3 linked regions of the Tribolium castaneum genome follow. The protein of the gene in region 1 interacts with the protein of each later gene in a pairwise test. Links are inferred from orthologs where the notes say so. Each region holds a gene or a part of one and is shown on either strand. Other genes may lie near its edges.

Region 1 (11,731 bases):
CGTTTATGAATGGTGCATGTTTTAGTTGCTGTGTTTGTTTCACAGGGCGAAAACGAATTGAAGGATATACTCCGTAGGGAGATGTCCGTTGTATGGATTTCGCCTACTGCAACAATTTTATCCTTACTTATTGACTTTTGCGTCTATATTCGAGACTTTTATTTGATTCCGTTCCTCTGCAAACCGTTCAAAATCCCCTTTATCCTCATACACTATTGTCTCAGACACAATAAGATACACTGAAGGTATGTACGGTTATTTTTTATCAGTTCGTCGTTGAGGTTCATCCGGTGACAGTCTCTCTTCCAACCACTCACACTCTCATTGGTGTTTTATTCAAATCCATAACTACTGTACTACTTCGTCTCTAATTTCATTATAGTCTTCCGCCTGTTCTTCCCCAAATTTTGACAGTATTATAACTGAACTTCCAGTTCGGTCGCGTTTCCGGTGCCATTTCCGCCCAAAATCAAACGACAAATAGACTATAATGAAAGCAGCCATAGTCGGCATGTACTTAACTAGCTTTGTAAAGCCCAAGTAACTGTAAGTTTGAAGCAATAAATTTTATCGTATGTTGCTTGAGTGTTTTAATTCACACTTCTCCTTCCTGCATGTGCACAACAATGCCACTTGTGACCCTCCTTATGCTTCTAGGAGCACGTGCGGACTCCTTCCGACAAAGAAACCGGCAATTTGTACAAAGACTTGGTCGAGAAATACGAAGCTCTCCTCGAAGTCCACCGCCAGCCCCACCGCCAATCCAAGCGAAACAACGGCGTTTCGCTGCAGGAGGAGCTCCAAATGTCGGGCGACTTCAGCGTGGCCACCACGAAGGACACGGACGAGGAGAGCGGTCTCGACAGCCTCAAGCAAGTCCATCCCAAAGCCAGGATGACGATTTCGCACACGCCCACCGACTTCTCCGAAGCCGAGACCAGCAGTTCGGGTTTCTCCGACGAAACGAGCAACAAATACACCCAAACGGAGGACCGCCCAGGTGCCTTCCTGTGCACGATCGCCGATGGTGAAGACAGGTTTAGCATCTACAACGACGCTAGCCCCATCTCCAGCCGGTTTAAGAACCAGCCGGAGTACCAGGACCTCTTCAAGGAGATCTTCACAGTCCTGAAGAAAACTGCCGACACCAAAACCGAAATCCCCAAAATCGAGGATAAAACTCCCCCGCGAGCGCTTCCAGAGGACGAGTCGCAAATCACGGAACTCGACGACGACTCGCAAAGCGTCGTTTCGTCGACCATGTCCGAACTGTCGATGTCGCAGAACGAGCCAACTACGATCATCGAGAACATCATCCAGGCGCAGAATCAGCCGATCCCCGACGCCGAAGTCCAAGAGAAGCCCGAGCGGGTGCTGAAGCCGCTGGTGCGTCAGCCTTTAGAGTACCTGTCGGTGGAAGTCCGAAAGCGGTCGTCGAGCCGTCGCAAGAACAAGTTCGCCGAAAGGTCCGACTCGCCGGTTACTCATATTATCGGAAGTCCGAAAATCAGTTATTCGAGTCGGCCTTCGTCGGGACGCAAGCGACGTGATTTTAAAAATGTGCCAGAGAATGACGCCACTTGGAACGGCAATACTATTCAGTTCTGGTCGTCCAATCGCAACATTGCCTCGCCGACGCCGAGCCAAGGCAGCGGAAAGTTCGAGTTTCGGCCGAGTTTGGCCTCGCAGGAGTTGCACAAGTTGAAAAAATTGGATCTGTCGTATGCGGAAGTCGTTAGGAAGGCTGATAGTAAGAAACAAGTCGCCAGGCAAAGGAGGAAATAATTGGATCGATGTGTATATTGGTTTTGCTTATGCTATTATTTGTAAATATTCATTTATGTATGTCATGTAACTTTTTAATTTTGATGCGTCTGTTTCAGTATTTTACGTGTGGTTTGTCCGAGAGCAAACTTTTTGTGCCAATCATAAAATTTTAAAATTATACATATATAATCACAACAATGTATCTAGTAGCACCTAATTTAAATAACGGAAGTTTACATTCCAAGTTACTTATAGGTTTCGGAGATAGGCGTAGCTTTTTACTCATAAATAGGAACGGAATCATCTACATTTGTGATTATATTACTATATTTGAAATAAAAACCATCAATCAAGTCCTATTACTTATCATTTATTACCCATGGATAAGGAAAAAAACAAAAATTATAAATATAATTTACACATATTAAGAGAACAATAATTCTTGAATGACAATACAAAAAAAAAACACGCAAGCTATTTCCGTTGAAATAATACTTTGTGGATTGTGGATAAATCCGGTACTAACTTATTTGAATTCGACGAACCAGAAACTTCTATAGTATTTAACAATCTGAAACAGAAATCTTCATTAAGTGACAAATTTGCTTAACACAAACTGAAAGAAACAGTTAAACATAAGTTGAATATTTACCTTAGGCAACACAAAATTAAAACAGTTCCTAAAAACAACAATAATAAAAAATACAGTCAAAAAGAAATTTGTTTGAAATACATTTTAATTAACGAAAAGTGCGAAGCTAGGCTTTTTAGTAACATTACGTCCAAAGAACCTAAAACAAGGAAAAACAGTCAAAAACAAATCCATGCCCTGACAAGGACGTTTCCGAAATTTGGTAAATTTTGATAAATCTTCCCGAATTGCACATTACACTTATCAAGTTCACACATTCAGGAAAAATAGCCAAAAACAAAACGGCAAACAGCTCCAAATGCTCAGCTCAGTAATCTCATAACTCAAATGAAATCCACAACCAAAGAATATAGCAACAAATACACATTTTACAAATTTATAATAAAAAATCAAAACTTTCGGTTAAAATTCCGTTAAACAGGTGAAATTCTCCTTTACTTTTGCACTTTTCAGCAGGTGTAAAGATCAGAGTTGGTTAAAAAATCCTGAAGGACTAAAAAGGCCTACTTTTTATTTATAAACAAATTGGTTTACAGGATTCAAGATTAAAATAATTCGAATTAAGTTGGCATTTGCTTTGTACGAATTAAAATTTGACTGCAAACTGTAAAACTTCATTTTCCTAAAATTAATCAAAATTACAAAATGCCAAAAGCATTTTACTTTACATATTGCAAAATTATAAATTCTACTAGTCAACTTGTATACAACCACCTTGTAGATATTAGATTTGAAATTCCTGAATTTTGTAGATAAATTTTTAATATGCTAGTTTATGTTATTATGTTACAAATAAATTCTATTCTGAAACTATTGCGAAAAGATCAATCTGTTAATTGTTGTGAATAGAGTTGCGGAAATAGAAAAAGAATGAATTTAAACAAACTATTTATTAATAGCCAGGACTCCGAGGCTATTGTAAGGTATGCAAGACACAAGACTAATTACAAAAAAAAAAAAACGAATACTACAGCTAATGCTAATCACAAAAACTCAAAAATGCTCTCTCGCTGAGAATAAGAGTTTCCGAGAAGCGAAAACTTAAAAAGGAACATTAGCAGAACTAAAAACTAGAAAAAAGAGCGTCTAATTTTTTAGTGCTTTTTGTTTACTTATCAACGCCCAAGCAAGTGATTTTTGATATCAAACTTTCACCAAAAGCCTTGATAAAGGACATAATAGATTCTCTAAGTAGTCTAAATCAAAGTTCAAAAGCAAAGAGTAAGAATATCTCATTGCAATGCAGAAACAAGTTCAAAGGGCAGGTTCTAAATTTGTTCAACTGTTACAGCCCCTAATAAAAAAACTGTAACGTCACAAAAGAGTGAGATTAAATTGAAAATTTAGACTCAAGTGGAAATTAAATTATACCAACCATGTTTTGGAAATAATTTTCCAACTTTTCGAACTCTCATGTGTATCTTAGAGATTATTTTTGATCTTTCTTTCGAAAAATAATAGACTAACGCAAAATTACGGGTCAGCTATCGTTTTCATTGGCAAATAAATTAAAACAAATAAATAAAGTAAATAATGTTGGCTTTTAGAAATGGTAGAAAATAATAAGGTATTTTAAATTTCTGGTCGAAAAAAAATAAAAATCAGAGTTAAAACAAAAATTGGTAATTTTGCTATAAATCACTTACCCTTGACTCTCCATTTTTGTCAACGCGGGGGCTGTTGGATTATTCAAAGGTCTCTTATTAACCAAAAGACATTTCATTGGTTGCCCATCCAACTGCCTATTATGATAAGTATCCACGGCCTTCTGCGCGTCCTTTAAATTCTTATAAATCACCTCAGCGACTCCCGGACGTACCAATCTAGCGGCCAACAACTGCCCAATATCTTCAAACAATTCCTGCCAACCCCAGAAATTAAATTCTCTCCAAACCTCACAACCGACATACTTTAACATCATCCTGCGTAACCGTGGACTGCAAATTAGACACTACTATTCTATGTCCCGCCGGCACGACAACTTTGGTCTTAGGCTGTCCGAAAATCCCGTGCGTGTCTTGCTCGATGGGGCTATCAAGCCGCGAGTGAATATTCGAGATTCTCGAGGAGCCCTGCAAGGTTATCGTCTGCTTAATTGGGGCGATGGGAGCCATCGGCATTTCCTCATCGTCGACGGCGTCAAGATCGATAAACCCGTGAGGCGACCTAAGGGGCCTAAAATTACGTTACGAAACGACCAGTTAAAGGACTTGTTACTTGTTAATGGGGAAATTTTGCCACCCTTGGAAGACTTCGCCCTTGGCCCCACGGACGCGCCCCTCCAGCGACCCGATCAACTGCGACGCGGTGGTCCGCATGCCCGGCTTGGACCACTTGTACAAGGAGGGGTCGTAAGTTCGCACCAGCATTTGGTTGTAAGAGTCGATTTCGTTCAAGACGGCTGTGTGCACGGTCGGGGGCACCCGGGACGCCGCGAGGGCCCTGCGCACGACCGCCTTCTTGGGCGAGGTGACCAGGCCCAACTCTTTTTGTATCGTGGCGTTTATGCCGGTCGACGACTTGCTCTTGTTTGTCACGAGGCTGATTTTGCCGTTTTTGTCGATTTTCTGGACGATGTTTTGCCCAATCACTTTGATGTTGCCATTGGCGGTGGCGCTCCGTTTTTGGCGCAGTTTGTTGAGCTTGTTACGGGCGTCCTGGCCTTTGGCGATTTTGGCCAAAACGTCCCGGGCGTCTTTCACGGTGCTGAGCTTTCGCTGGATGAGTTTCTGGCGCGCATCTTGCACTTGTGGCTTGGTGAAGACGCGTTTTTTCACGATGTTGGCCTTTCGGGCGTTTTGTGCCTTTTTTGTTTGGAGGTTTGGTTTGTTGTTGCTGGAATTGGGGCAATCAGTGATGGGGAGTGGAGGCGTTGGGGACTCACCGGATCGGGCGTTTTGCCATTATTACAACTAACTGTGGAAAAACTCCGAATGTTTTTGCTGATTTAGCTGGATTTCACATACAAATAATACGAGAAAACGCACAATTTTCGTTTACAAATGACAAATGACAGAGACAAGATGGAGGACCGACGCTGGCGCCTTCTGGGACCGACCGCTTTTTTCAAATATAAAACTTTCAAAATTAAAAGAGTTATAAAACGTGTTTTTTTGGCTTATATGAATATTTTGGTTACAATTTAAGCTTCCCAATTTATTTTTAAAATCACAAATTTCGGAAATATAGGCCACCAAGTATACACCAAATGACGTGTAAATAACCTTGATGTTTACACAAATCAATTATTTCGTGAAGGATGACAACAATCACAAGATTTAGATAATAACAAGCTTTAAGTTTTTCGCGAGTCATTCTAAATTGTTAGTGAAGTTTACGTAATGGCTTTCATCACAGGTAGGGCTCTGCACTATGTCTTCAAAGTCCCAGACCGGAAGCAAACTGCGATATTTTATCGCGAAATTTTGGGCATGAAAGTCCTGAGACATGAGGAATTTGCGGACGGGTGTGAGGCTGTATGTAATGGGTAAGTTACCAAAGATTCCCCCCGTTAAATAATTGCTGAAACAATTTAAAAAATTGTATACAAGTTTTACTTGTGTTCCCCCCTTCCTAGAAAGTGTTCTTTACGCAAGAAACTCAAAAACGTATTTGGAAACTTGCTAACAGTAGGAATAAGTCTTTTTTAGCTTATTCTTGAAATTTCGCTCAAGACCAAACAAAATCGAGTGAACCAGGCAAAGTAAAATCAGTCTCATTTAATATTTTCGTGATTTTGAGGCGCGTTTTCAAAATGAATGAACTTCAAGTTCAAAAACGAACTAAATTGACTAAAATAGGCTAGGTACAATCAATTAATAGAGAAGTTTTTTGAGGGAGTTTATTAACTACTTACAAAAACCAAAAATTGTAGTTTATTTAGGCCTAATTTAGTTCATTTTTCGGTTTGGTAGTACGTGGTGTACTAAACTTAAACCAAAACTAACTTAAACAAAAACAGGACATAATTTTTCGACCAAATGTTGTTTTTCGCTTATTTTATGAACTATTTCGAAGAGAAAACCTAAATAGTTAATTTCTATTTAGTTAGTGATTTTTAGGTGTGTTTTGGCAAGTTCTTTTGGTAAGATGGTCTAATTCAGTGATTTCTCATTCAGTTTTAGCTAAATTTTTCGAAAAAAATTAGTTGTTACCTCAACAAGACTCGAAGAGCCTAAAATAACACCAATTTTAATATAATTGGCGACTTTTCGGTCTGCTTTTAACGAAATTTTGCGAAAAAGCTGCCTGTCTGGCTGAAATATTTGCTCAAAAAAGGGATTAATAAGAATGTTTTGTATTTAAGTTGACGAGTTTTCAATCGCTTCTAGAAAAAAACTCGGGAAAAAACTAGGATTTTCGCTCTTAATATTGCTTATTAGCTGTTTCAAAACTATTTTCTCTAAAAAATAGTCGTTATAAATTATTCATGCATTTCAAAAAGTTAATACCTAATGTAATTTATAGTTCCAATGAAAAATTAATAACTATTTTACATTTTTATCAAACTTATTTAAAAAAATAATTCGTTAAAATGCGACATTGGCATTTCTATAGTTTTGAAACAGCTGATATTTGCTCAAGAAAGGCAAAAATAACATTACTTTTAACCAAAATTTGTTGCCGTAAAAAGTTCTTTTACAATAAATGAAACTCTGGTTAAAAGTTAGTTGAATCATCTTATTTTTACCTACTTTTAGCGAAATTTTTATAAAAAAAATTGTTTTATCTCATAACGTGTTTAAAAATTTTAAAAACGCAGAGCAGACAATTTTCGGTGTAATTTTGCTTCTCACAAGAAAGTGAGAATATAACTTCAACCACGTGTGCTTGAAAATACAGAGTAAACCAAAAGTGTAACACACATATCTTTGTTTAGAAAAAAATCCTTGAACTGGGTGCTCAAAAACTGGCGCACCAACTCAATGGAGTGTGGTAGAGAACTGCTTGCATATAAAAGTAAAAATAGCAACAAATTATTTGTATTAAAGTTATTGATAAAGAAAGAATTTTAAATAAATAATATGTTATGATCGCAATAGAATTTGATCGAAAATAAAAATAAATTATTTTTGAAACGGTTTCCTAGGAAATAATTTCCAGTCTTGACACATCCACAAACCGTGATTTTTTTTATGAATTTTATTTTTTTTAGTTCAAAAAACTGCTAAACCTGATAGGAAATTTAAAAATAATTATTAATTGTTTTGTTAGGGAACGATTACTTAGTGTAAAACACAAAAACATAAAATAATGAAAACTAAAGAAGTTAAGGAAATAAATTTGTAGCTCCAGATTTTTTTAAATATGACTTTTTTCAAGATTTTCTTGTAATCTACACATAGTTCTCAACAACATACCACTGAGTCGGTGCGTCAGTTTTTAAGCAGCCTGTATTGTGTTTAATGCTACATTTTGATACATCATTTTAGTGTACACATTTTTATTTTTCTGGTAAGTATAAAAAAAATTAAAAAATAAAGCAAAACAATTCAAAAAGTGAATTAAATTAAATAAGAAAGCTGTAAAAGTTACAGAGAGTATTACACAAAGATCTTTATCTTTTCGTTCTTGCTTTATTTTATAACAACAGATGATTGTTTTTTTGTCTAGGTGTCATATTTCATACAAAAAAATTATAAAAAACAATTGCCACTTGAAAAATAAATCAGAAACAAAAAGATAAAGGCCATTATGTTTAATTGTCATAATTTTTTATTTTCTTAAATTTATTTATTTTTTTTTCTCATTGCCAGGAAGATAATGATGTGTACTGTCTGAAACAGTGAACAAAAATGTCTGTTGTCATTAAAAAAAATTAAAAATGAAGTCACGACTCAAAACGAATGGTATCACAAATAGTACTATAAAGTGAAAATGTAGCATTTAACAAAATTAAATCGACCTGTTTTAAATGACAAATAACAGAGATATGAATTTTGTGCGATACCTTTGGTTCAATGCGTATAAGCGAAAATAACATAAATTTCGGTCAAATTTGTGTTTTTCCAGCCAGTGTTAACAAAACGAATTACTACCTACTTAATCATTACAAATACTCACCGAGTAAAAGTAATCATCAACCCAACGTAATATAATTTCAGTTTTGTGGAATGTAACAATTACGAGTACCAACATCACATTATCTAAATGAGCCTCTCGTGGAAGCAATCATTTTATTGCGCCAATTATCCTTAATTACTTTATCTTCATTCCAGTCCTTACGCAAACCGGTGGAGCAAGACCATGGTCGGTTACGGTCCCGAATCGACCCATTTCGCCATGGAACTGACCTACAACTACGGCGTAAAGTCCTACGAGAAGGGCAACGACTTCCGTGGCATCACAATCCGCAGCAAAGAGGCCCTGCAGCGCGCCAAAGAGAACAACTGGCCCATCTTAGCCGGAAACATCCTGGAAGCGCCAGGCGGTTACAAATTCCACATAATCGACGAACCCCAACCCACCGATCGTGGTGCGTACTAAGCGCCCCCAAACGACTGACTTGTCTAAAATTTCCTTGCAGATCCAGTAGTGAAAGTAACTTTGTCTTGTTCCAATTTGACCAAATCCATCAACTACTGGAACGGTGTCCTGGGCTTGAAGATATTCGGGCGCACGGATAAGACCGTCCTGCTGGGCTTCAAAGAGAGCGAGGCCAAGCTGGAGCTGGAGGAGATTGGCGGCCCGGTCGAGAGAGCTAAAGCGTACGGACGTATCGCCTTTTCCTGCCTGGCGGCAGAGCAGCCGAAAATCGCCAAGAAAATCGAGGAGCACAAACATACAATTTTCAAGCCTCTGATCTCGCTGGACACGCCTGGAAAGGCCACAGTCCGGGTCATTATTTTATGCGACCCTGACGGACACGAAATCTGCTTCGTGGATGAGGAGGGGTTCAGTCAACTGTCGCAGGTTGACCCCGATGGTGATAAGCTACTCGATCGGTACATCGCAAGAGATAAATCGTAAATAACCTGGATTATTAATTCAAAGGGTGGAAAGGTGATATTATTCAACACAAAGTATTTATTCTTTCATATATTGTTACAAAAATAAAATATATAAAGTTCCAACCAACATAAAAACCAACAACCCAACTTATCACAATTTATTCTTTAAATCGGCGTTCCAATGGACGAGCTCCCGCCACCACTTCGGCCTGCTCATGGCGTGGGGCGAGCGGAAGATCGCCGATTGTAGCCTCTGGTAAACGCGGCCGTCCGAGGCCCCCAACACCGAATTCAGGATGAAATCGGGGGGCGCGATAGCGTCAATTAGAGACACTGCGTCGTCTTTAATGTCGTGGCAGAGTGTTAAGATGCCTTCGTGGATCAAATGAGTGGCTTTGGGGCCCTGGGTGTAGCCCCCTTCGTACAAAGTTGCCAAATATTTCTCCAGGGTCCACAGCCCGTACAAGGAGAATAATTTCGAGAGAACTCTTTTGTTGTCAGCGTCCGTTGCTTGGTTGATAACGACCAACATTCGTTGCAAGAAGAAGTGCTAAAATTTAGAATTTCGGTTACTGAATAGCGACCATAATATTGGCCATTATTATGTAATAAAAGCCAGTATATGCGAGTAGAATACTATGTTTTGTGCACGACTACTAAATATTTTCGAATCTGCGTACACATTGGGAATTAATTTGAGATCATATCGTATATTTACGAAAACAGTAGTTAGTATACATAATCAAGCGCGTTAAAAGTGTGGTCATTTTTTAAGAATAAAGTTAATCGACATTTCTTTTAGTTTTTATGTTATGACAAATTAGTTCAGAAAATCTTCGTAATGTGTTCGGTATGCAACTTTTATAATTTGTTATAAAAAGAAAACAATGTCACATAACCGGTTCGTTAGGAAGCTGGGAAATTGTGGCGAGTCACGTGACTTATCACAATTTGTTTTTTCATTAATTTAAAATTGTTTAAATCACCTATTACCTCAAAAAATTAAAAATTATTTGCAAAGGTCAAATGATGCAAGTAATTTATTAAAACCTCTTTTTACGATTGTCTACCTTTTCATTCAAAAATCTTGAACGTACATTAAAAAAATACAATTAAAATTTTCTGTTTTTTTGTAAAAATATACAAACAACACATTACAAAAAATAATTCTAAATTGAATGGGGTTTCAAGTTCTAGTAATGCCAAAGCAAAACTAATTTGTGGTACAAAGTTACGAAACAATTTATGTCAAGGGGGGCATCGTAGCCCCCGTTAACAAAGCTCTACAACGCTACAATTTGCACTGTTAAATGATTATATAAAAAACGACTTCATGGCAAATTTTATAAAAATTGAATAAGTATGTTTGAATATAAAAAATATAATCCGCATTTTTGGGGTAACTTTCGGAAGCTAATAATTCCACAAAAAAATCGTTTTCAGAAAAAATACAAAATACAGATCAAATTAAGTTGGGGACAAAAGGAAAAGGAGATTTTCCAGGTCAAAATAAAGCAACTTAACCCATCTCACCTTTGTACAAAGTTGCACCGTTTAAAAGTTAGAGGGCGTCAAAGCACAAACATTATTACTAATTTCTAAATAGAATAATCGAATTTGAAGAATTTTGTACAAGTAATTTGTCATCAAAACCACATGTTTTCATGATTTCTTTTGTTTTTTTGTTATACAATATCTAAGTGGTGTAATTTTTTTATTCAAAAGACCCATCATTTCTGAACAATTTTTATATCAGCCTTGATTTTGGAATAAAAAAATAATAAAGTGGAGGTGTTAACATTATTGGTTTTAAAAATATATTTTTAATTAATTAATTTCATTATTTCATTATTAGATTAATTATTATAATTGTAAATTATAAATTTTTCCATAATGACAGGGTAGATTTTAATCAGTGTGTATTTTTATAGATTTCTAGAAACTTACAATTTTGCGGAAAAATGACTTCTTTAATTTAAATTAATAGCAAATTACGTTAATGTTATCTAACATAGACTTAAGATAAAGGAACTAAAGCCAAAATTAAAAAAAAAATAATGGAAAATCATATAATAATAATAAATAAGCGAGCGTCTGAATCGGAAATTTTGCACATCGACAATTTTTTAACTACAAACCCGAGGCCGATACAAAAATTTTATAACTTACAAAAAATCTTAAGAAAGAATAGGTCTTTCGAATAAAAAAAATAATTACACCACTCGGATAAGGAGTAATAAAAATATGTTTTAAAATGTTTGATAGGTGAGTAGAGCTTATTCCAAATCTGGTGGCGAACTGACATTGTCAAAAATAACTGAATTTTGGCATTAAATACATGTTTACTATTGAAAAAAAAAAA
Region 2 (9,914 bases), on another chromosome or scaffold:
AGTAGATTTTCGATGAGTTTGATTTTATCGGCAACTTTAGCCCCGCCCAAAATCGCAAGGAACGGTTTTTCGGGCTTGTCCAACGCCTTTGCGAAATATTGTAACTCCTTTTTGAGGAGGAAGCCGGCGGCGCGCTGCTCAAACCCCTCCCCCATCATGGAGGAGTGGGCGCGGTGGGCGGTCCCGAAGGCGTCATTGACGTAAACGTCGCCCAATTTGCGCAGACTTTGCCGGAAGGCGGTGACTTGGGCGGGGTCAGCTTTGATTTTCTTGCCAGAGGCGTCCACCCCTTTGCCCTCCTCCTCGACGTGGAAACGCAAGTTTTCCAATAGGATGAGTGAGCCGGGGGCGGGGTCAGCGCACGCCTTCTCGACGTCGGGGCCGACGCAGTCGGTGAGGAACGTGACGTCTCTGCGAATGAGAAATTAGGGCGGGGTTAGGGCGGGGCGTATTAACCTTTTGGGGAATTTGGGAGAATCGCCACATGAGTTAGCTGTGACGAGTCTGGAACAGATGGGTTGGGGGCGGGGGCAAGGGCGGGGTACCTCACCTGTTGAGGAGGGTTTTGAGCTCGGCGGCCACCGGCTTGAGGGTGTATTTGGGGTTGGGGCTGCCGTCAGGGCGGCCCAAGTGCGACATGAGGACGACGCTTTTGGCGTTCTTGTCAAGGGCGTATTTGATGGTGTCGAGGGCGGCGACGATGCGCTGGTTGTTGGTGATCTTGCCGTCCTTTAAGGGGACGTTGAAGTCAACCCTAAGGTTTATTGAACTAGAGGGTGCGCCGAAAATTGGGGGGTTTACCTCATAAGGACGCGTTTGTTGGCGAGTTGTAAAGCATCAATTGATAGTTTGTTTAAAGCCATTTCGGGGGCGGTACAGGGACAACCGGCACGGGCACACAAATCGAGCAAATCTTGGGGGGAATCTGCTTTTGCCATTCAATGTCAGATAGAGGTCACTAATTCCAGAGACTGTCAAACTGTGGTTGCCGGTTGATTTAATCAAACTTCGTTTTTAAATTGCCAAAAAGTGACCAAATGACACTTGTGACAATAGTGATGCGTTACCAGTGTCCAAATTATTATTATTTTTTGGCGTAAAAAACGTAATACAATTTGATTTGTTTATTGTGGTTACGGTTTTGGGACCGCTGGTATGTCCCGATTGTTTGACAAGTGTTTATTTGACTGAAGTGCAATTCGGTTGAGTGTGCACAAAACCGAAAATCGTGAGTTGCGGTGTCATTGACCTTTTGTTTGCCCAATTTTGCAAAATTGTGTTTTTCCGCATTATTTTAATCAAAAAAAGTTGCTAAATCTGATTATTAAACAAACATTGTGTCTAAACAAGTCAAAAATTTTTCATTTAATAATTATCTTTGCCCATTGTAAGTATTGCATAATGATTACATGATCCAAAACCTTTTTATACAATTATTGTTATCAAACATAGGACAGAATGTTATTAAAACATTAAATTAACACATGAATGTTATCAACGTTTGTCTTATCATTTAATTGCTTTTCAGGCTCTTGAGTCAATCGCTAAGGCCTGTTAGATTTTTAATTAGAAATTTGTGACGCATTTACCCAAAAAACAGTCAGACTGTAGTAAATTGCGGTCGCCACGACCCAAATTAAACCTTCAAACTTCGGCAATACATAACAAAATAATTACTTCAGAGATAACGGACCGCTCACACAAAAACCATTTCCATAACATGACTTTTATTCACTCTGACCTTGCGGTTAATCGGAACTCTAGAGCACAGTAAATACCGTAATCTCGCGATAATTACATAAATAAGAGACAGCGACCAGATTTTCCACAATCGTGCCAGTGATTTTCACGCAAAATGTCGCGAAAAATCGGAATTGTGGGCAGGTGAGGGTCACTAACAAAACGAAAAAAATCAAACAGAAATTCCAGCGGCCTTATCGGCCGCTCGTGGGCCATGCTGTTCGCCAATGTGGGCTACCAGGTCGTCATCTACGACATTGAGCCCAAACAGATCGAATCGGCGTTAGCCGACATCGAGCAACAGCTCAAAAACTTGGAAAAAAGCGGGCTTTTACGCGGGAAATTGAACTCAAGCCAGCAATTTGCCTGCATTAAAGGGACCAACAGTCTAACGGAGGCCGTAAAAGACGCCGTTTTGGTCCAAGAATGCGTCCCCGAAAACCTGGAACTGAAGCGAAAAGTGTGGAAAAACGTGGACGACGTCAGCGGCCCTAACACGATTTTCTCAAGCTCGACATCAACCTTCCTCCCTTCGCTATTCTCCGACCATCTCAAAAACAAGTAATTTGGCACAACAATTTCTGTAATTTAATTGCGACTTGTAGGAAAAACATCGTGGTGTCGCACCCGGTGAACCCCCCGTATTACGTGCCCTTGGTCGAGATCGTGCCAGCGCCCTGGACTGACCCCGCAGTCACCAAAAAAACGCGCGCTATTATGGAGGAAATCGGGCAAACTCCCGTCTCACTGACTAAGGAAGTCCCCGGTTTTGTTGTAAATCGCCTACAGTACGCCCTTTTGAACGAAACGTGGAACCTTGTCTCCGACGGAGTCCTCGATGTCAAAGACATCGACAAGGTCATGTCCGACGGGCTCGGCATGCGCTACGCCTTTCTGGGCCCCCTTGAAACCACTCACCTTAACGCCGAGGGCTTCGTCGACTATTGCAAGAAATATTCAAACACGATTTATTCAGTCAGCAAGGACTTTAAACCGTTGCAAAAGTGGGAGGGCCCCCTTGTGCAGGAAATCGCCAAACAGTTGGAGAATTCGGTCCCGTTGGATAAGTTACAGGAACGCAGGAATTGGCGGGACTTGGCTCTGACCAAACTGAGCCAATTGAAAAAATCAATATAGCACGTCGTATTCAAACGTTTATTTTTTGTTTTTTCTTATAAACAATTAAATTAAACAGACTCTTGGACTGGTGGTTCATATCCTTCGGGTCTGTCCACTTTAGCACCCGCTTCCCCGGGCTCACCCGACCCCCCTTTGCCCCCATCCCCGTGCAATTCCAAAAGCTTGGAAAGCTCAAAACGCGGCTTCTTCAAGACTTTCACTTTACGAATGTACACGTCATGAAGTGGGTAAATCCCCTGGCAGGCCTTTTCAATGTCTTTCGCGATCGAATCCGGAAGTAGTTTATTTACGACTTCCTTGAGGTCACTCCCGGTGATGTCCCGGGTGATGATTTCCACCATCTTCTTGCGAATGCCACGGACCTGACGGCAAACAATCGATCAACAATTGCCACAGCTTGCCCCCACTTTTTCAAGAAAATTACAATCAGACTTTGATTTTAATAGGGAACATGAATTCTCATCACGTTTGAATCAATGCGAGCTGAGTGTCTCATCACAAAACGGCGCCAATTTTAAATAATAGTTCAACCACACGAGTGATTACCTGGGTATGTTGGGCGTAACAAGTTTTACGTTGCGACAACTGGTCCTTATTGGTGAAGCCGATGCAGAAAACACGCAACAAATAACCATCGGTGGTTTTGACATCAGCTGAGGCTTCAATCAAAGTTTGCCACTTTTTGACCATTGAACGCAACTTATCGGTGGTCAAGTCCATGCCGTGGAAGTTGGTCAGGACGTTGCGACCTGAAACCGCCAAATTTGAAACACTGTAACACATCAAGCCCCCCAAAGAAGGGTAAAATTGGGTCAGACTTCAAAATTCTCAACAGTTTTAATTCAATGCGAGCTGGGTGTTCACATCATGTAAAGCCACCTGGAACAGTTTTTTAAATAATGAACGCTACGCACCTTGAACATCCTCGGCAATGAGCCTGAACTTCCTGAACGACCGCTCAGCATCATTATCATTCTGCAAGTCGGCCAAAGACACCTCAAACACGCGCCCCTTGAGCCCCTCGGACGCGATTTTCGTACCCTGCGTACGGTTCACCAGCGTCTTGCCCACCTGCCTGGTGGCAAACATCGAGGGGGCCTTAACATCGTACCAGTCTTTGCGGGTGAACGGGTCCACACTACAAAAACAACCCCACGTTATCACACTTTTTCCCACCCATCCGGCCGATTTTCGCCCGGTTTTCACCGGCGGGACGCCTAGACAGCACCGGGGCACACAATTTAGTACAAATTTTTGACTTACATCTTCTTCTTAACGCCCTTTTTGCCGCCTTTGGACAGCCCCTTATTTTTACCAACTGCCATCTTGAACCGCCACACGAGAAGAGGTTGCGGTACCACAACCACCGCGCGAAAATTACTAACAATTACCAGAGAAATGGCACGCGCATGCGCGCTAGCGCCCGGTTTTTGAGGCTATGGAGCCCCCAGACGAGGCTGATTGTTGCAATTCGGGTTGCAATCCGTGCATTTTGGACGTGTACGAGGCCCAGTTGAGGAAATACCAAAAACTAGGGCGAGAAAAAAGTGGCGCTGTCAATGCACTTAACCCCACTTCTTACACAGTTTTTGTGCTAACTGGACGGAAAAAAATCAACGAAAGTGTGTTTTTTTACACGTTTAAATACGCCGATTGTAGGGAGAGACAACCGAATTGTTTGGACTACAAGCCGGGACAGTATTTCTTGTTAAGGGGGCGGGACCCCCAAGGTGAATTCACAAGGGCCTACACCCCCATTCCGGTGCCCCAAAATGCAAGTTTGGAGTTTACGGTCCTGGTCAGGTTATACGACACGGGACGGATGTCCCAACTGTTCAAAACAATGCAAGTGGGGGGCGAAACGTCCTGGCGGGGGCCTTACGGCGAGTTTGCCCCCGATTATGCGCACAAGTTTTTGGTTTTTATCGCTCAGGGGACCGGAATAGCCCCCTTATACGCCCTAATCCGTGATATTGTTGTGCACAATGAAGAGTGTGAAAGTTTTGTTAAATTATTTTTTTGTGTCCGGAATTGTGACGATATTTTACTGAGGGACGAATTATATGAGTTGGGGTCGTTTTGGAATTTTAATTACGAGGTTTTTTGCAATAACTGTGATCAAAACGTGGCAAAGTACCACGAGACTATTCATAATAAAAAAATGTCTTTCTGTGATTTAGAAAATTACGTCCAAGGAAAGTTGGGTCAAGTTCAAGTCATGATAAGCGGGAGTGAAACATTTGGGCGGGAAATTAAAGAAATAATAGACCGGTTAGGAATTGAAAGCAGTCATGTTTACGTGTTTTAACCTAGGTTTAATACATTTATAATTAAAGAAAACGTTAAGTAAAACTTAAAGTAAGATTCTAGTTTAGTTTTTCCCTTAGTCTGCATGTCCTGCTGCTTGCCTCAGCAAGATATAGATTTTCTCCTTTATCCAGTCCTTATTATAGGGGGCGTAGGTGTTTGTCGATTTCTGGTACACCAAGCAACTCAGATCGGACAACTGAAAGCCACTTTTACGAAAAATTGCAACAATTAGCACAAATACCTGATCGACAAAATCAAACAACTGGGAAATATCGTAGGTGATTGTGGGAGTATTGGGGTTCCGGCGCTTTAAATGCTCCTCGTATATTTTACAAACACCTTCCATACACTCATTCACCGACTCGTAATCTGAGTAGGTGCGAGTCTCGGGGTTAGCCCCCGGCTGGACGAGCAAAATAGTGTGTGCCTACAACACAAAAATGTTTAAGGGGGCCCCCATAGCCAGACCTGACTCACCATAACGCAAAAAACACTCAAAATCAGGCGTTTAACGCATGAAAACAGACCGTTTTTAAGGTTAGGCTAGTGACAAGCGGTGCCAACCCAAACTAGGAAGACCACATTTGGGGCTTAATTACGCCAATGATTGACTTGTTAACTACTCAAATCGTCAGTTAGTGACAATTTTTGATTAATCATCAATTAATAATAATTTTACGTGGGTCACGTAATTATTTTTTTGTCACTGTTGCGTAACCAAAGTCCCTAACGCGTGACATAACCTCCCTTTTGATTAAAATTGATTGAAATGGGGTCGGAACACTCCACCCATTTGCACGGCGGTCACGGGGGCAGTCTAACCCACCCCCCGAAGCAGCCCCCCAACATCCGGCGCCAGCACACCATCGCGAACCCCGGCGGGGCTGAGCCCCCCGAAGGTGGGGAGAACGGCCGTCCGGGGTCGATCTCCCCCGGGCCTAGTGTTTGCAGCGACACGGACTTGCCCTACATCAGTTACACGGTCAATCGGCCGATTGGAGGTACCCCAACTATTTGAAATATTTTTGACTAGAGTGTGCCCCCTAGACTCGCCCAAGCTGACCAACAAACAGATCGTCAAACCCAAGCGTAAAATCGCGCAAAAGCAGCCGAAAAAATCGGCTCATAGTATCGTGGTGGTCAAGCCGGCCAGCGTGGGCCCCAATGTGGACAAAGACCCCGATATTGTGCGGCTTCAGAGCATTCCCATGTTCCTGCCCATAATGAGGGCCACGCTGAATCTGCCGGCGGCGCGTGACCCCGAAGTGCTGGAGCGTCTGGACCCAGCCCCCTTGCACAAACTTTGCGTGAAGTATCAGACGCATTTGACGGCTTGTGCCAACTTGATAGCCACAGAACAGAACCAGTTGACCCAGAAAGTGCGGGAGACTGACGGGGAAATCGCCAGGATTATCAACGGTTTGGGGGAAAGACAGAAACGGTTTGCAAAATATGCAGAGAAGTTGTCCAAAGTCCAGGAGCTGTCTCATCAGCTCAACCGCTGCCATATGTTGCTAAACCAGACGCTGGAATCGATGGAAACCTTGAACAATCACCTCGATATTGAGGACCGACTGGAGCCCTTCGTTTGGACAACTGGATGATAGTTTCCGAATGACAGCTGACACTTTGATCTCAACATAACCTATTATTATTATTATTGTACATTTTTCTTGTAACTGTTAATTGAATAAACGATCGATTGAGACAAGGGGCCCCGGGCCCCCATTTATTGGTCCTTGCCAAGGTCGCATGACTCAAGTCGCTGACGTCATCGCAAGATGGCCGCCACCCAAAATGGACTCATTCAGTTTTTTAATTTTTTAGCAAAAATTTGATACATTTCGGTAAATTTGCAACAGTGGGGCTATCACAGTGCCCGTGTGCGTGTTTTGGTGCGGACGCAGCCCCAGGACTTCGCCCCCCTTGGACCACACACGAGCTAAGGTCTAAAAATAAGCTAATGACTTTTTTATTTTACACTCGGCATATTTTCGAAATTTTGAGTTATTTTAGGTGCGGTGCAAATTTAGGTGAGCACTCACCGACTTGGTACTCTCGTTTCAGGTTAAATGAGCGATTGAGTGATAAGGGGGTGATAAGACAACGAAAATGCCCGTTTTATCGCCGAGACAGAGCAGTGCTTCGGCACTGACGGGCTCCTACAGGTCCACGTTCAGTTCCTCGACCATTGACAGGCCCTACTTTGGGGCCAATTACAGCCCCCGGATCACCACCTTCAGCGAGAGGTACACCACCAGGACCTACTCGGACTCGGACGGAAGGAGGATTTTTTCGAGGTTAGGCGCAGTTATGACACGGAAAACACCAAAAATGAGGAACTTTTCGTATGAGATAATTACGTGTTCACTTTTTGCCTGTCACGTAATTTGTTATCGTTTTTTCAATAATTTATTTTCCTGTTCGGGTTCAATAACCAGTTGATTATTGATCGTAATAATTATTTCCTATTTTTATAATTATTTTTAGTATTAAAATTTCGGCAAACATGCAAGGAAAGTCGAGTGTGGGTTGAAAAAAAAGTGAATATGTTCTCGATTGACCTATTAAAAAAATGTGGGAGGTGTTGAATCGTCTGTCGATTGTTTTAGACCAAGTGGTGCCAACGTAAACAATTTTTCCGTAGATGTCTAGACTGTTTCACATGAAAAGAATAAATTGGTTGAAATACCGTGCCTCCTATTAATCAAAGTAGGCTAAGTTGGTAATTTTGATTGGCACGTGTTTTTGAATCTTGCCAACTTGATTTTGGAATCACCCAATAAAAAACTAAATAAATTGAGTAAAATTACGCTTTTTTATTTTAATTACTGATAAGTCAATTTATTTTTGTGGTCAGATTTGCTTTAAGATAAGGTTTTTAGTAACGTCATAGCTAAAGTCTAAATATTTTTTTCATATAAATAAAACTGTTTTTAGGCTTTTGTTTTTTATTTTTTGTCCAAGAATTTTTATTTGATTTTTTCAAAAAAGTTTTTCGTTTTTTTCGGTCATAGTGACTTTCAAGTTATTCGGAAGATATGTCAGTTTTTAAAACTTTTATTACTGTTGCCAATTCAGTTTCAAAGTCTCAAGCCACTTCGATCGATTGCAAATTTATTGTAGATATTTCTTATTACGAAAGGGCAATATTATGCGATATTTGTTATTAAAAAAACAACAATAGCAAGATTTTTTAAAATTTTCATGGATATAAAACACTATTTGTTTGTATTTTAATAAATTAACTTTAATTTGTATGTAAATAATTCTAAACGTTTGTTTTTTTTTTGTAATTGTCTTGAACAATCAAAATATTTAAAAATAAGTTTCGGTTACTTGTAATTTTTCTCTTTTAATTTTGAGTTAAATTTATTTTGGTGTTTATATAAAAATAAAAAAGTAGTCTAAAGAACTTGTTAGTCTATAATTTTTATTTAAATTTTGAATAAAAAATTGTAACAATAAATATTTATTAACTAACCAAGGCGTAGCCGAGGCTGGCAGTTATTTCATTTATTCTTAATTTTATAATACATTTTTTTAAGTAAGTATTTATATATTTTTAAAAATTTTGTTGTCATAATACATCTTTAATTTTTTTTATCTATAAAAACAATAACAGTTAAGTGTTTTTTGCTAATTGATTGAAAGATATTTAATTTTAAACATTACAAAAATTCTTAAAAATTAATGAACTATTGATTGTTATTAATTTTTTTTACAGATGAATCTTTGAATTTGCTGGGAATTTGCTACAAAAAAATACTGATTTTTTTTCTCTTGAATTTTTCTACTCTTATTTTATATTTTTATTTTTTTATTTTAATTATAATTAAAGTTAAGGAAGCATATTATAATTTCTATAAAATTAAAAATAGAAATGAAATTAATAATTAAACGAAATTTTATGATTTTTGGTGATTTTATTATGATTTTAATAAAATTAAATTATCTTCATTTGAATTTTATTTTTTTACAATTTAATATAATATTTTTGCAGCTGCCTAACAGGTATCAATTACGAAATTTTAAATTAGAAAAAAAAACTGATGATAATTACATAAACAACTTTTGAGTCTTTTATTTGAAAAACTTCTTTGAAATTTAACAATTTACGGACAATTTATAGCTCAAAATAGTCAGGGAAATAGTTTTTTTCTTTGCCAAAACCCTGTACTTCACCGGATTTTTTGCAGGTCTGGCAGCATAACCGAAGACGGCATAACCAGCCGTTTCCGCGAAGAAGGCCGTGAATCGAGCATCGCCCGTCGCGAATCCCTCTCGCGCGATTCGGGCATAAGTTCAATTCGCGAAAATTCAATCGTTGATTTCGGCCGTCGTGACAGTTCCCTGTCCCGGGACAGCCCCCGTTTATCCTCGATCAACGTTCTCGATTCGGTCGCCGAACTTCGCAACAAATACTCACCGGCCAACTACGTTCCTGCATGTCTTCGCGAACGCAATAACGAGAACATCTCACGTTCGAAATCCATAAACGACATCGGCTTACCGCCGATTGAAACAACAAAACTCGCCAAAAAGAAGGTAATTAATGACAGTTTGAATTACAATAACAGCGTGTTGTCCAATTCTAACACACCTACTAACAACGACAACAACATGACCAAAGTGGAAGAGGACGATAATGGGAATCGGGCCTCGGTGGCCGATTTGCGCAAAAGATTCGACGAGAAAAATACAAAAACTACAAAGTCTCCGCT
Region 3 (10,488 bases), on another chromosome or scaffold:
TTGTCACACTGAAAACAGGAGGAAACTGGACGAAATAATAATATAATTACTTATGTATTATACATCAGATAATGTTAACAAAAATACAAGAAAAAAATAAATTCAATAATAATAATAATTTACACAACTGCCATAAAAAGACGTCTTGACTGATAATCGCCCTTTTGCCGATTTAACCGAAGTAATTAGTTGTGGTAATCTGAATTAACAGAACCCTTTATACTTTTTGTAGTTAACCAGCCGGGTGTTGCTTGACGATGTGACTTAAACTCCTATGTATTGTGTGCTTTTTGCGTTTGATTTTCTTTTTCCGTTCTTTTTAGAATGATTTTTAAATTTTAGTACGAAGTTTCCAAAATTGAATTTCTCCGTTGTTTTCATGTAGTCAACGCTAAACAGCAGCAGCAGCAGCAACAACAGAAACTCGCATCGAACCGCGGCAATACCGCCATCATCAACTTACTGAACAGTTCTCCAGCTAGTAATATAAACAGTGATGCGAGTGCAGCAGTAGTGAATGCAATAAACAATTCGTCGTTGTTACCGCAACAAGTACAGACTATTAACCAAAAACTCCTAGCACGTAAAATGACTCTTTCGAACGTTGCAAACGCGCGAGTGTTGAACCACAGTAATTTAATAGCCGTGAATAATAACCGAATGAACATTTCTGAGTTAAATTCGCAATTGTCGCAACCGCAAAGTCAGACGATTACTTTGACTTCGGTCAACAGCGGCGGGACTTATACCAATTATACGACAGTTCCGATCAAACAACAAGTCAGTGATAATAATAAATCGGCCTTGTCGGCGCTCCTTGTGGGCACACCGGCGGCCGATCGGCCCGATATTGTCGGTCCGAACACAAGCTCTCTTCTCCTAGAAAAACTCGGTGGTTCACCGGGAACCAGCTCTTCGAACGCGACGCAAAATTCAACGCATTTCATCCAAAGTCTCAAATCGGGACTACAGTACATGGTACAGTCGCCACCGAAAGCCAATACTGTCGTGTCGCCGCTATCAAGTCCACCGTCGCAAAATACCAACACGATAAATCTAGCGCAATTGCAGAGTTTGTCAGGGTTGCAAAATGTGCAAGTACAGTTGTTGTCTTTGAATGTTTCGTCGACGGGGAATCTTCAGGGACATCCAACGAGTTTGTTGGTCTCACTTCCGGTTAGTACATCGACGACATCGGCCAATACTGTTACGCAAACGGCCAACATGGCAAGCGGAGTTAATTCGATTGGGGTTGGTGGACCTACTGTTGTATTGGCCAATGCAGGGACTTCCAATATTGGTAAGGATTGATTGGTTGTGTGGTTGGAGAATAGGGGTGTTTTAACAGTTTTAACAAGCGTTGATTAATATCTGTAGCCGGACAAACACACGAAACCATTCAAAAATAAAATTTTACATATGCAGGATTCTATTCAAAGTCTGGTGCTTCAATGATTTTTAATTTAATTAAGCAACTAAAGCAACTAAAGAAAAACGCGCACAAAATTAATTCAATTTCGGACGAAACAAATAATTTCGTCTTTTTAATTTTATTTTTTAAAGAACCAGATAGCAAAATTTTCAATAACTCACCAATAACAATTGTTTATATCGACGACACTAGCACAATATTCACGAACGCACATGAATTTTATCACAAAATTACAAAATTTTATGTGTTGGAATCAAACACAAATCTCGCCTTTCAACAGATTTGTTTAAGTAATTTTAAAAATTATTAATCAACTACCTAACCGTGTGGAAGCTAGACTTGGACTGATTCATTAATCATTATCGTATCCATTTCCTTAAAAAAAAAACATTTCGCAACAATTCCATTCTAGAAGGGCAGCATATTATTGTCATTCGTAACATCATAACATCGAATTATTCGAATGTAAACAAAAACCAAACTCTAATCACAGGTCAAACATACGATGTTGAATTTAATTCGAATTTAAATCAACATTTGTTACAACTTTTGTATACAAACAAGATGTCTCAAAATTGGCGAATTCTGAGTTCAGAGCCTTGTAGAGATTGTGGTAAAAATACACTGGTTTGAAATTCACTCTTTGAATTGCCTTTTCTTCAAGTGCAGGCTAAAAGTTTCAATGTTTATTGTTATTTATGGTGTAGATGATTGTGAAGAATAATAATGTAAAACAATTTCTCAATAAACTAGCTTTATTTTAGAGTAAAAAAAATCATAAATTTTTATAATTAGCCGTTTCATTTTAAAAAATTTTCGATTTTTTACTCCAAAATAAAGCTATTTTTTGGTGAAATTGTTTTACATTATTATTTTCCGCAATCATCTACACCATAGATTCATTAAACACTGAAATTTTTAGCCTGCGTTTGAACAAAACGCAACTTTAAAGATGTGGTTAAAATATTATTTAAGCAAGACAACAATAAATCATGCTTTATCACAGACTATTTGTCTTCAACCTTAAATAGAGTCAAAGAAATGGCTTTCGAGTGAAGGATAAGATAGAGATCTAACAAGTCAGTTTAGGCAGAAACAATTTATTACGTTAAAAATTGTTTTAAGTATCGTAAAAACATGATTTTCATATTTTTTATTGAGAAGCGCAACATAGACGTGACTTATTTTCAAAATTATTAAAAAAATTATACGTTTCGGGTAGAATAGAGTTGGTACACATTTTTTTTAATTTACCTGATTCGTAATCTGTTATTCTGACAATAAAATGGGTTTAAAATGAGTCTTTGAAGCGTTAAAGCTTTAAAGTTGCCTACTCTGTTTCAAAACTACGGAAATGTTAACGTCGCATTTTACCAAATTTTTATAAATAAGATTTCTCACGGAAACTATAAATTACATTAGCCATTAATTTTTTGAACTAAGTTTGAGAGAAAATGCGACGTTGGAAAATATTTTCTCTAGGATTTTATGACCTATCCTTCTATTCTTATTATATGGCCCTATTTTATATTTTTACTGCCCTTTTTAGCATATTTTACAGTATAATACAATCCCGTCTCTGCTTATAATGGATTTCCAATATTAAATTGCAGAAATTTAATTTCTTTGTTTGTTTCTAACCGCTTGCAAAAGCACACATAATTAGTGAATTTGGTCTTTTTTTTGGTTTGTGAGGAGAAAATAGGATTTTTTGAATGGTTTCGCTGGTTGTCTTTGTGTTCATTTTTGCTTCGTGTTTGTAAAGTGGTTTTCTTTAAATCCAGCCCAGTTAGTCACGTCTGGGGTGAAGGGTTTAACCCAGCAGGGTATCCGGGCCCAGGGCCCCGCTTCGGTGTCGTTATCTCAGGGCGGGCAATCGTATCAGCTAGTGACCCCTTTACAGAGGCCCAGGATGCAGCAAAACATCCAAAGAACACCAATAACCCTCAAGATGGCAACACAGAACTCAAGTCAGTTGACCGATTTGCAGTTAAATGTCAATAGAAAATGATCATTTTCCATTAAATTCAATTGAGTTGAAGTCCTAATAGATTAATTCAATTAATTAATGCATGCTTTTTGTTGGTAATTTTTTAAGTAAAATCTGTGATATTCATTTTGAAACTTTTGAGAGTAAATTTTCTTAGATGCAGCTACAAATGCTTCAATAACAAGTCAACTGCAAAAGCAAGCTCAATTTCAACAGTATCAACAGCTCTGTCTGAACCAACAGCAGAAGAATGTGGCGGGCGTCGCGGGAAAACTTCGAAGACGATCAAACACTTCAGATCCACAGTAATATTGTATTTTCTGTACATTGTGTTATCGAACTAGTCTCTCCTGTTTGTTTTTATTTTTATATATACGTTTTAACTTTTGCTGAGTACTTCACTAACAAATAATAAACTGCCGAGCATTAGAGTGTCGTCTTTGTGAATGCATTCAAGCCGTCAGTAAAACTCAAACATCACACTCGTTTAATTCTTAATTTATAAACCTGTAGAGTTCTTCCCACTATTTCTGTGATCAAAGCCAGTATTATTATTTATTTCGTGGTCGAGAAAATAAATAGTACTGGGAAATGGTTGTAATGTTTGGATTTTTCAAACGCTTGGGTGGTACTTTTGCAAACAGTAAAGAGATATTGTTGATCTCATCTGCTGCATTACATTGCACAATTGTCGTTCCTACATTTAGAAATAAACATGGTGCCAAAAGTGGACCTATACCAGTTTATTTTCAGTTTTCTCTAGGTAGGGACACGGCCTATTGTTTTTACTGCCGTTTTATTTAAAACAGTACAAATCGCGAGATTTTCTTGTAGCAGGCCGCAATACTGTATAATACGGTATAAGCAATTTTGTGCATTTTTGCAGTTTCGTTTAGTTGTAGTTAATTTAATCTACTGTACATATGATAGGGAAGATGTATACTTTTTGTTATTTATTTATGAGCGCGGAGAATTCATATTAATGAAATAAGATTATCACTAAGTGCATTAGCAATATTGTTGGAAGAAATGTGAGTAGATTCATTTGATGTGTACATATTTTTTCTTTTGTAAATAATTTTAGGTGTATCCACTTTATCATAATTTATGATTGTTTTTAAGTAGTTTTATTTTTATACTCAATTAATGGTTGTGTAATGTTTCATTTTCTGGTTACATTTGTTTTAATTCTTCTAAAATCGGATCATCAACAAAAAAATATTTGTAGTATTAAGATATCAGGCATAAACGAGGACAAAATGTTATACTTTATAAAACATCAACGATGTAAAATTACACATTGTTAAAATATACAAATTTTTATTAAAACCCCTATTATTTATTGTTCCTGGTATTTTTCTACTACCATTCCTGTCCTAGGCGCAAACTTTTAACTGTACATACAGTAGACTTATTTCCCTTTTGAACGAAATGTGTAAAATACTTTGTAAAAATATCTAACATCCTTAGTCTCTACATTTGTATCATATGTGATTATGTGGTGAGTTGTAGTATTTTGTAATAATGTATATTATTTGCAATGTTTCGTATTTTTTGTACATAAATTCAGACACGTGTTGAATATTTGGCAATACCAATATGTATACTCGTTAAAATGTAAAGTGTTGATTTTTCCCGATTTTTATTTTTTCAATCCTGTAACAAAGACAATAGATTTTTTTATAAATGTGTGGTGATTTAATTTTAAATTCGGTTAAATGATCACACAACCTACTGTGGAACCTGTTAAAATTTTTATTTAAATAATATAGGATATACATTTATAAAAAAAAATGTTTTTATTATAAACTTTTAAAAGCTGTTTCTATAATTTCCTCAATCACAGTTGCACGTTTTGTACTTTCTTCCACACACTTTAAAAGTTGCTCTTCCGTAAAAACACAGCCACCTGGCTTGTGAACAAAACACAACTCTTCTTCCTTCACCACAATTGTCACCAAAGACGTACTTAAGTCCTCCTCATCCACTGTTGGGTCTATGAGAATTTTACTACAATCAAAAAATTAAAAAGTTTACAACAACAATGATAAGCTTACTCATCAAACATTGCAAACGTTGTTGCTATTGGAGTGTTGGTAACACTAAGAGCTTTCCTCTCTTGCACATTCACTTGCTTGTTGTCAAGGGCTGGATCGTACTGAACCGCTGGCAAAGTAACTGAAGCGCAATTATATTTTTCACAAAAAAACAATATTGTCTTTACCTGACTTAAGCGCTGCCATTAACGCAACAACACACGCGTCTATCAACGCCCCATCCAAATCCAAACAAATTAAATCAGCATATAAACACCAAGCTAATTTGTCTGGAAATATACATAACGTTTTTAAGTCTAAACAATCAGAGTTTTTTAAAATATCGGCAACTAACTGGGTCGCTACTTGGGCTTGTTCAGTTGGGGGTCCTGGCCGAAATTTTGACGAACACAACGGTGGTAATTCCACATTGGGGATCAAAAACCCCTCGTTTGCAGCCTCAGCCTTGGGCTGACACAACTCCTAAGGTTTGGTTTAGCAAATTGAATGCCTCCAATTACACTCACCGCTTTAATGCCGCAAACTACCGTCGTGCGACCAACTTTGGCAATCGCAGACCCATCGGCTGTCGAAATTGAGCCCAAATTGACCACGATGGGGCGATATTCCCCAAATTCGCGCCCATCAGGTCGGATTTTGTGGGCCAAGTGGTCGCGGAAGTACTTGACGGGGTGCAAAATCCTAAAACATAGGATAATCACCTTGTTATTTATTCACAGTACTACAATTATTACTTGTATTGTTCTGACATTATTGAATTTGTTTATAACCACGTTTTTCGTTTTTGACAATTGACATTATTAATGACGTTAGTTTTGATTGGTTGCCGACAACGGTGGGGGAAACGTTTGATTTGAAACGAGTAAATTCGGTTGAATAATGCAATTTTTGTAATGAAGACATTTGCTTGCAAATAGGGCATTTGGTTGGGAACAAGTATTGTCGATTGATTTTTGATTTAGTGCAAAATTCCGTTAAACCCTTCAAAACATGTTATCCCCACTCGTGTGACGTTGCTTAAATCTGGGCTCCCATTGGTCCCGTTTGTCATTTCAACGGTCTCTCAGCTGTTCGTTTCCCGCACTCTGCGCTCTTTGCATCTGGCCGTTAAAAACAGTCGTTTTGTCGGTTAGGGGTAGCTTGGGTGTTTAAGTTGGGGTTCAGTTTGGCCTTCGGTTCAGCAAACTTTTCGTTTTTCGGGTATTAGAAACTTGCACGTGTGTTAGAGGAATGGCATCGATAAGAATTCACCAGGACCAGGAAAACCGGGTGCCGGAATTGCGCCGAAAACCGGGAACGACTGCCCAGCAAAAACGGGGCGTTCTGGGCGAGATTGACAGTAATAAAGTTAATAACGCAGCCCTTAAAGGAAAACAGGTAATTAACAGTTGGAGGTAACTTTGGATGGGAAAAACGTTTGCTTTTTTGCCAGACGAAGAAGCCAACCGTTTTGGGAAACCGGGTGGAAAATGGGCAAAAAAACGAGAATAAGAAGAATGTCGTGGTTCCGGTGGCCCAGTTTGAGGCGTTTACTGTGTATGAGGATGATGAATACAGAGCGAGAATCGATGAAAGGCTCAAACTTATCAGTAAGAGTAATGTGTATAAAGGGACGGCCGAGGACAGGTTTATCACGAAGACAGAACTTGCCGAAATTGAAAGGAAAAAGAATTTGGAGAAATTGAAGGAAATTACTGCGCCTCAACTTAAGAGAAAATCGGAGATTCCGATGAGCATTGAGAAATCAGATGTGGAGAACATTGAGCTCAAAGAGCAAACGGTTTCCACAAATACCAATGCTAGAGATGTCTTTTTTGAAATGGAGGAGTATAGGGATAGCATTTTTGCTTATCTCAAAGAACATGAGGTAAAGTATCTTCAAGAACGACGAGAAAATTATTCCAAGTTTTTTTACATCCATTGACATTTATTCTCAATTAAAAAAAAAAAAACAGATTGAAGCCCTTTTTATTAACAACTTTGACTTTTTTTGAAATACTTTCGGGGCGGGAAATTTCATTATGGCTTTAATTTCGTATATTATATTCCATACTCTACGTTGTGATATGTTAAAAACATGAGAACACTTCAATTTACGATTTTTACCTATAACTTGAAAACTATCTTTTGTGGACTTTTCTCTAGAGCCTTTAGATGTGCCAAAAGCGTCAATTGAACCGGTTTTATAAAATCAGATTTATCAATTTTTGCGAAAATTTTGGTTGATTTCGATACCCGGAGCATTTATCGGGCAATAACTCCGGAACTGTTTTCCACGACCTTATTAAGATTGATCGTTGAAAAGCTTTTTTTATTTTCTATCTGCGACTGAAGAAATTGCTACTAAATGCAAAAATAGAAAGAAATTATTTCTGTAGATAACTTCAAAACTGTTACAAGTTTGGCCGTTTTCTCGACGTCAATCTATTCTTCGGATTATATTACATTGGAGTATCAAAGTGGTTCCATTTTTCGAATACTTTTGCTGTAATTGAGTAAATAAAAAATGAAAAATTACTGAACATTCTGTTTGATAAATCTTAATCTTATCTTTACGATGGAATAAGACTTTTTTCTGGTCTTTCAGTTTCACCGTATCCGTGTTTGAAAACTGATTTTTTTTGAGATTTAGTTCGATTTCTGGAGCATTTATCGGCCAATAATTTAGGAACTGTTAGACTTTACCCCATCAAGTTTGTTATTTTTGGAAAGCTTTTTTAACTATCACAAGCCAAAGATGTTTTTTATGTTTCCTGTATTCTGATTTCTGTAGTACCCACTGTTTTCTTTTCTACCACATTTACAAATAAAAAAAAGTTTATTATAAATTTTTAATAGTGAATTATTGAGTTAAAAATTTCAAATATTAGATGTGATACCTCTCGCGTTTAAAAAAAATCGTATGGGTGTTTTTTTTATGGATTGCTTCTGGGAGATCACATTTTATGGACCAACAGTAATGTTGTAATTAACATGTCTCTCACGAGAGGTAAAAGCGCAAAAACCGAGTGGTTTTATTTAATTTTTTGAAATAAGTAAAAATTATTGCTATGTCGTCATAGCAGTAAATTAAATTGGTAAAAACTGACAACAATATTGTAAACACTAAAAACTATGTTCGCCCGTGTTATCTATCGTTTTTTAAAATGATAATGTCATTTTTCTACCTATTTCATCTAATAGTTTCCGAGAAAATTGCTAAAGAAGCAAAATTAGGTAAAAATTATATGTTGTTAACTTGAAAACTATGAAGAATTTGACAGTTTTCTCTACAGCAAACGATTCTCCGGATTACTTTACTAAACCTATATTTTATTAGTTTTGTCGTAATTTACGATGGAATAGGATTTTTTTCGTAACTCTTTTAATTTCACCGTAACTAGCGTTTCACAATTGATTTTTTTTGGAGTTATCGCTTTGAAACCCACGCCAGTTTGTAGAGCTTTTGACGTCTGTTTCAATAGTTTCGCCTAATTGGCGCCTGAAAAAAAGGATAATTTTTTTCGTTTTTCTCGTAAACTGGTAATCGTCTGTCGGATGTGTGTAAGCAGAACTGAGACTTATTTAAAAAATATTACGTTACTCCAATAATTCGAATTCCAATGAATATGATTATAAAAAAAATCATGTCTTGCGATAACTTTTGTGCGCACTGTAAGAATAAGAATGCGTTTTAAATTATCTATGTTTTCGTAAAAACTCGAAACCGCTCCGGAAAATGGCTTCGCTTACAGAAACATTTTAAATTTTTTATTAAAAAAAATCATAATTCGAAATATAAAAAGTCCTACAGCAAAACGGTTTGATCAGATTACACTTTACGTAATATACTATTTTTCAAAAAAGGAAAATAGAGCATTTTAACTTAGAAAACCGTATTTAAACCATTTTTGCGGTCTAAACTTGAAAATTTATACGGAAACCCACTTTCTCTGTCAAAGTTCATGATTTTGAAATAAATATGATAGTGATACTAAGCATAATGCATAAACTGTGATTGGTCCTCCAAATCTCCACTAATTGTTTTCAGCTGCGACATCGGCCAAAACCCGGCTACATCGTGAAACAGCCTGACGTAACTGAAAACATGCGTGCTGTTTTGATCGATTGGCTTGTCGAAGTTACTGAAGAGTACGGTATGCAAACGGAAACCCTTTATTTGGCCGTAAATTTCATCGACCGATTTTTAAGTTACATGTCTGTAGTTAGGGCCAAATTGCAACTTGTGGGTACAGCTGCAATGTTTATTGCTTCGTAAGTCGATCGCCCAAACGCTATCCTCGTTTAATTTGCCCTTTCAGTAAATACGAGGAAATTTTTCCACCAGAAGTCAGCGAATTCGTGTACATCACTGACGACACTTACGACAAACACCAAATGATTAGAATGGAACAGTTAATTCTGAGGGTGTTGGGCTTCGATTTGTCGGTGCCCACACCACTTACTTTCCTAAACGCCATTTGCATTTCCACAAAACAAACCGAAAAAGTGAAGAATCTCGCGATGTATTTAAGCGAATCGGCGCTTCTGGAGGTCGAACCGTATTTACAGTTTTTGCCGTCAGTTGTCGCGTCGTCGGCGATAGCTCTCAGCAGACACACTTTGGGCGAAGAAGCGTGGCCTGGCGACTTGCAAAAATACACAGGATATAATTTGAAAAAATTAGAATCTTGTATTGGATTCTTGTATAAAATGTTCGCCAAAGCGCCATCTAATCCACAACACGCCATTCGGGACAAGTACAAGGCGCCAAAGTATATGCAAGTTTCTAAGATTAGTCCCAGCGGTGAGATGATTTCGTTCGATTAAAAGACTGCTCTACTTCGTAGGGAACAAAGGCCTTGCGTTTTTTTTTCTGGTCTAGTTTTTATTATTAGATTTATTAATTAGATGGTAATAATTTATAGTAAGCTGTGCTGTGGTGTCCCATTCATGTGTACTGTCGACCATCAATATTATTTTAGTTTGCATGGTTTTATTTACTGTCTTTTATGTGTTATTTTATTTGG

The links.
Region 2: the proteins of polymerase delta-interacting protein 3 (region 1) and e(r) interact in a two-hybrid assay, tested with the Homo sapiens proteins (2 studies listed by BioGRID, with this or other methods). The link is inferred for Tribolium castaneum from reciprocal best matches to the Homo sapiens genes POLDIP3 and ERH.
Region 3: the proteins of polymerase delta-interacting protein 3 (region 1) and exosome complex component RRP43 interact in a two-hybrid assay, tested with the Homo sapiens proteins (2 studies listed by BioGRID). The link is inferred for Tribolium castaneum from reciprocal best matches to the Homo sapiens genes POLDIP3 and EXOSC8.

Annotation. Positions count from the first base shown.
Region 1 is NC_087395.1:18,063,573-18,075,303, reverse strand, and holds polymerase delta-interacting protein 3, read right to left. Parts: upstream 5,478-11,731; 5' UTR 5,324-5,477; coding exon 5,304-5,323; intron 5,255-5,303; coding exon 4,637-5,254; intron 4,595-4,636; coding exon 4,330-4,594; intron 4,281-4,329; coding exon 4,066-4,280; intron 2,559-4,065; coding exon of another isoform or gene 2,504-2,558; exon of another isoform or gene 2,501-2,503; intron 2,448-2,500; exon of another isoform or gene 2,420-2,447; intron 2,339-2,419; coding exon 2,242-2,338; 3' UTR 2,117-2,241; downstream 1-2,116. Other genes in the region: Cen (cerebellar degeneration-related protein 2-like), read left to right, coding at 658-1,785; glyoxalase domain-containing protein 4, read left to right, coding at 5,761-5,906, 8,638-8,894, 8,946-9,388; peroxisomal acyl-coenzyme A oxidase 3, read right to left, coding at 9,521-9,919. UniProt on the Homo sapiens protein: Is involved in regulation of translation. Is preferentially associated with CBC-bound spliced mRNA-protein complexes during the pioneer round of mRNA translation. Contributes to enhanced translational efficiency of spliced over nonspliced mRNAs.
Region 2 is NC_087401.1:15,471,484-15,481,397, forward strand, and holds e(r) (enhancer of rudimentary homolog), read right to left. Parts: upstream 5,809-9,914; 5' UTR 5,671-5,808; coding exon 5,668-5,670; intron 5,618-5,667; coding exon 5,432-5,617; intron 5,387-5,431; coding exon 5,264-5,386; 3' UTR 5,189-5,263; downstream 1-5,188. Other genes in the region: Pgk (phosphoglycerate kinase), read right to left, coding at 1-411, 457-504, 551-754, 802-938; Had1 (lambda-crystallin), read left to right, coding at 1,856-1,884, 1,930-2,301, 2,346-2,877; RpS3A (small ribosomal subunit protein eS1), read right to left, coding at 2,928-3,242, 3,427-3,629, 3,795-4,018, 4,144-4,205; NADH-cytochrome b5 reductase-like, read left to right, coding at 4,319-5,188; BORCS5 (BLOC-1-related complex subunit 5), read left to right, coding at 5,960-6,191, 6,238-6,794; Usp2 (ubiquitin carboxyl-terminal hydrolase 2), read left to right, coding at 7,303-7,490, 9,390-9,914. UniProt on the Homo sapiens protein: May have a role in the cell cycle.
Region 3 is NC_087402.1:7,979,508-7,989,995, reverse strand, and holds exosome complex component RRP43, read right to left. Parts: upstream 6,359-10,488; 5' UTR 6,231-6,358; coding exon 6,214-6,230; intron 6,161-6,213; coding exon 5,986-6,160; intron 5,942-5,985; coding exon 5,647-5,941; intron 5,601-5,646; coding exon 5,480-5,600; intron 5,433-5,479; coding exon 5,225-5,432; 3' UTR 5,155-5,224; downstream 1-5,154. Other genes in the region: uncharacterized protein Spt20, read left to right, coding at 386-1,300, 3,217-3,402, 3,580-3,731; CycA (G2/mitotic-specific cyclin-A), read left to right, coding at 6,710-6,856, 6,912-7,346, 9,510-9,733, 9,781-10,288. UniProt on the Homo sapiens protein: Non-catalytic component of the RNA exosome complex which has 3'->5' exoribonuclease activity and participates in a multitude of cellular RNA processing and degradation events.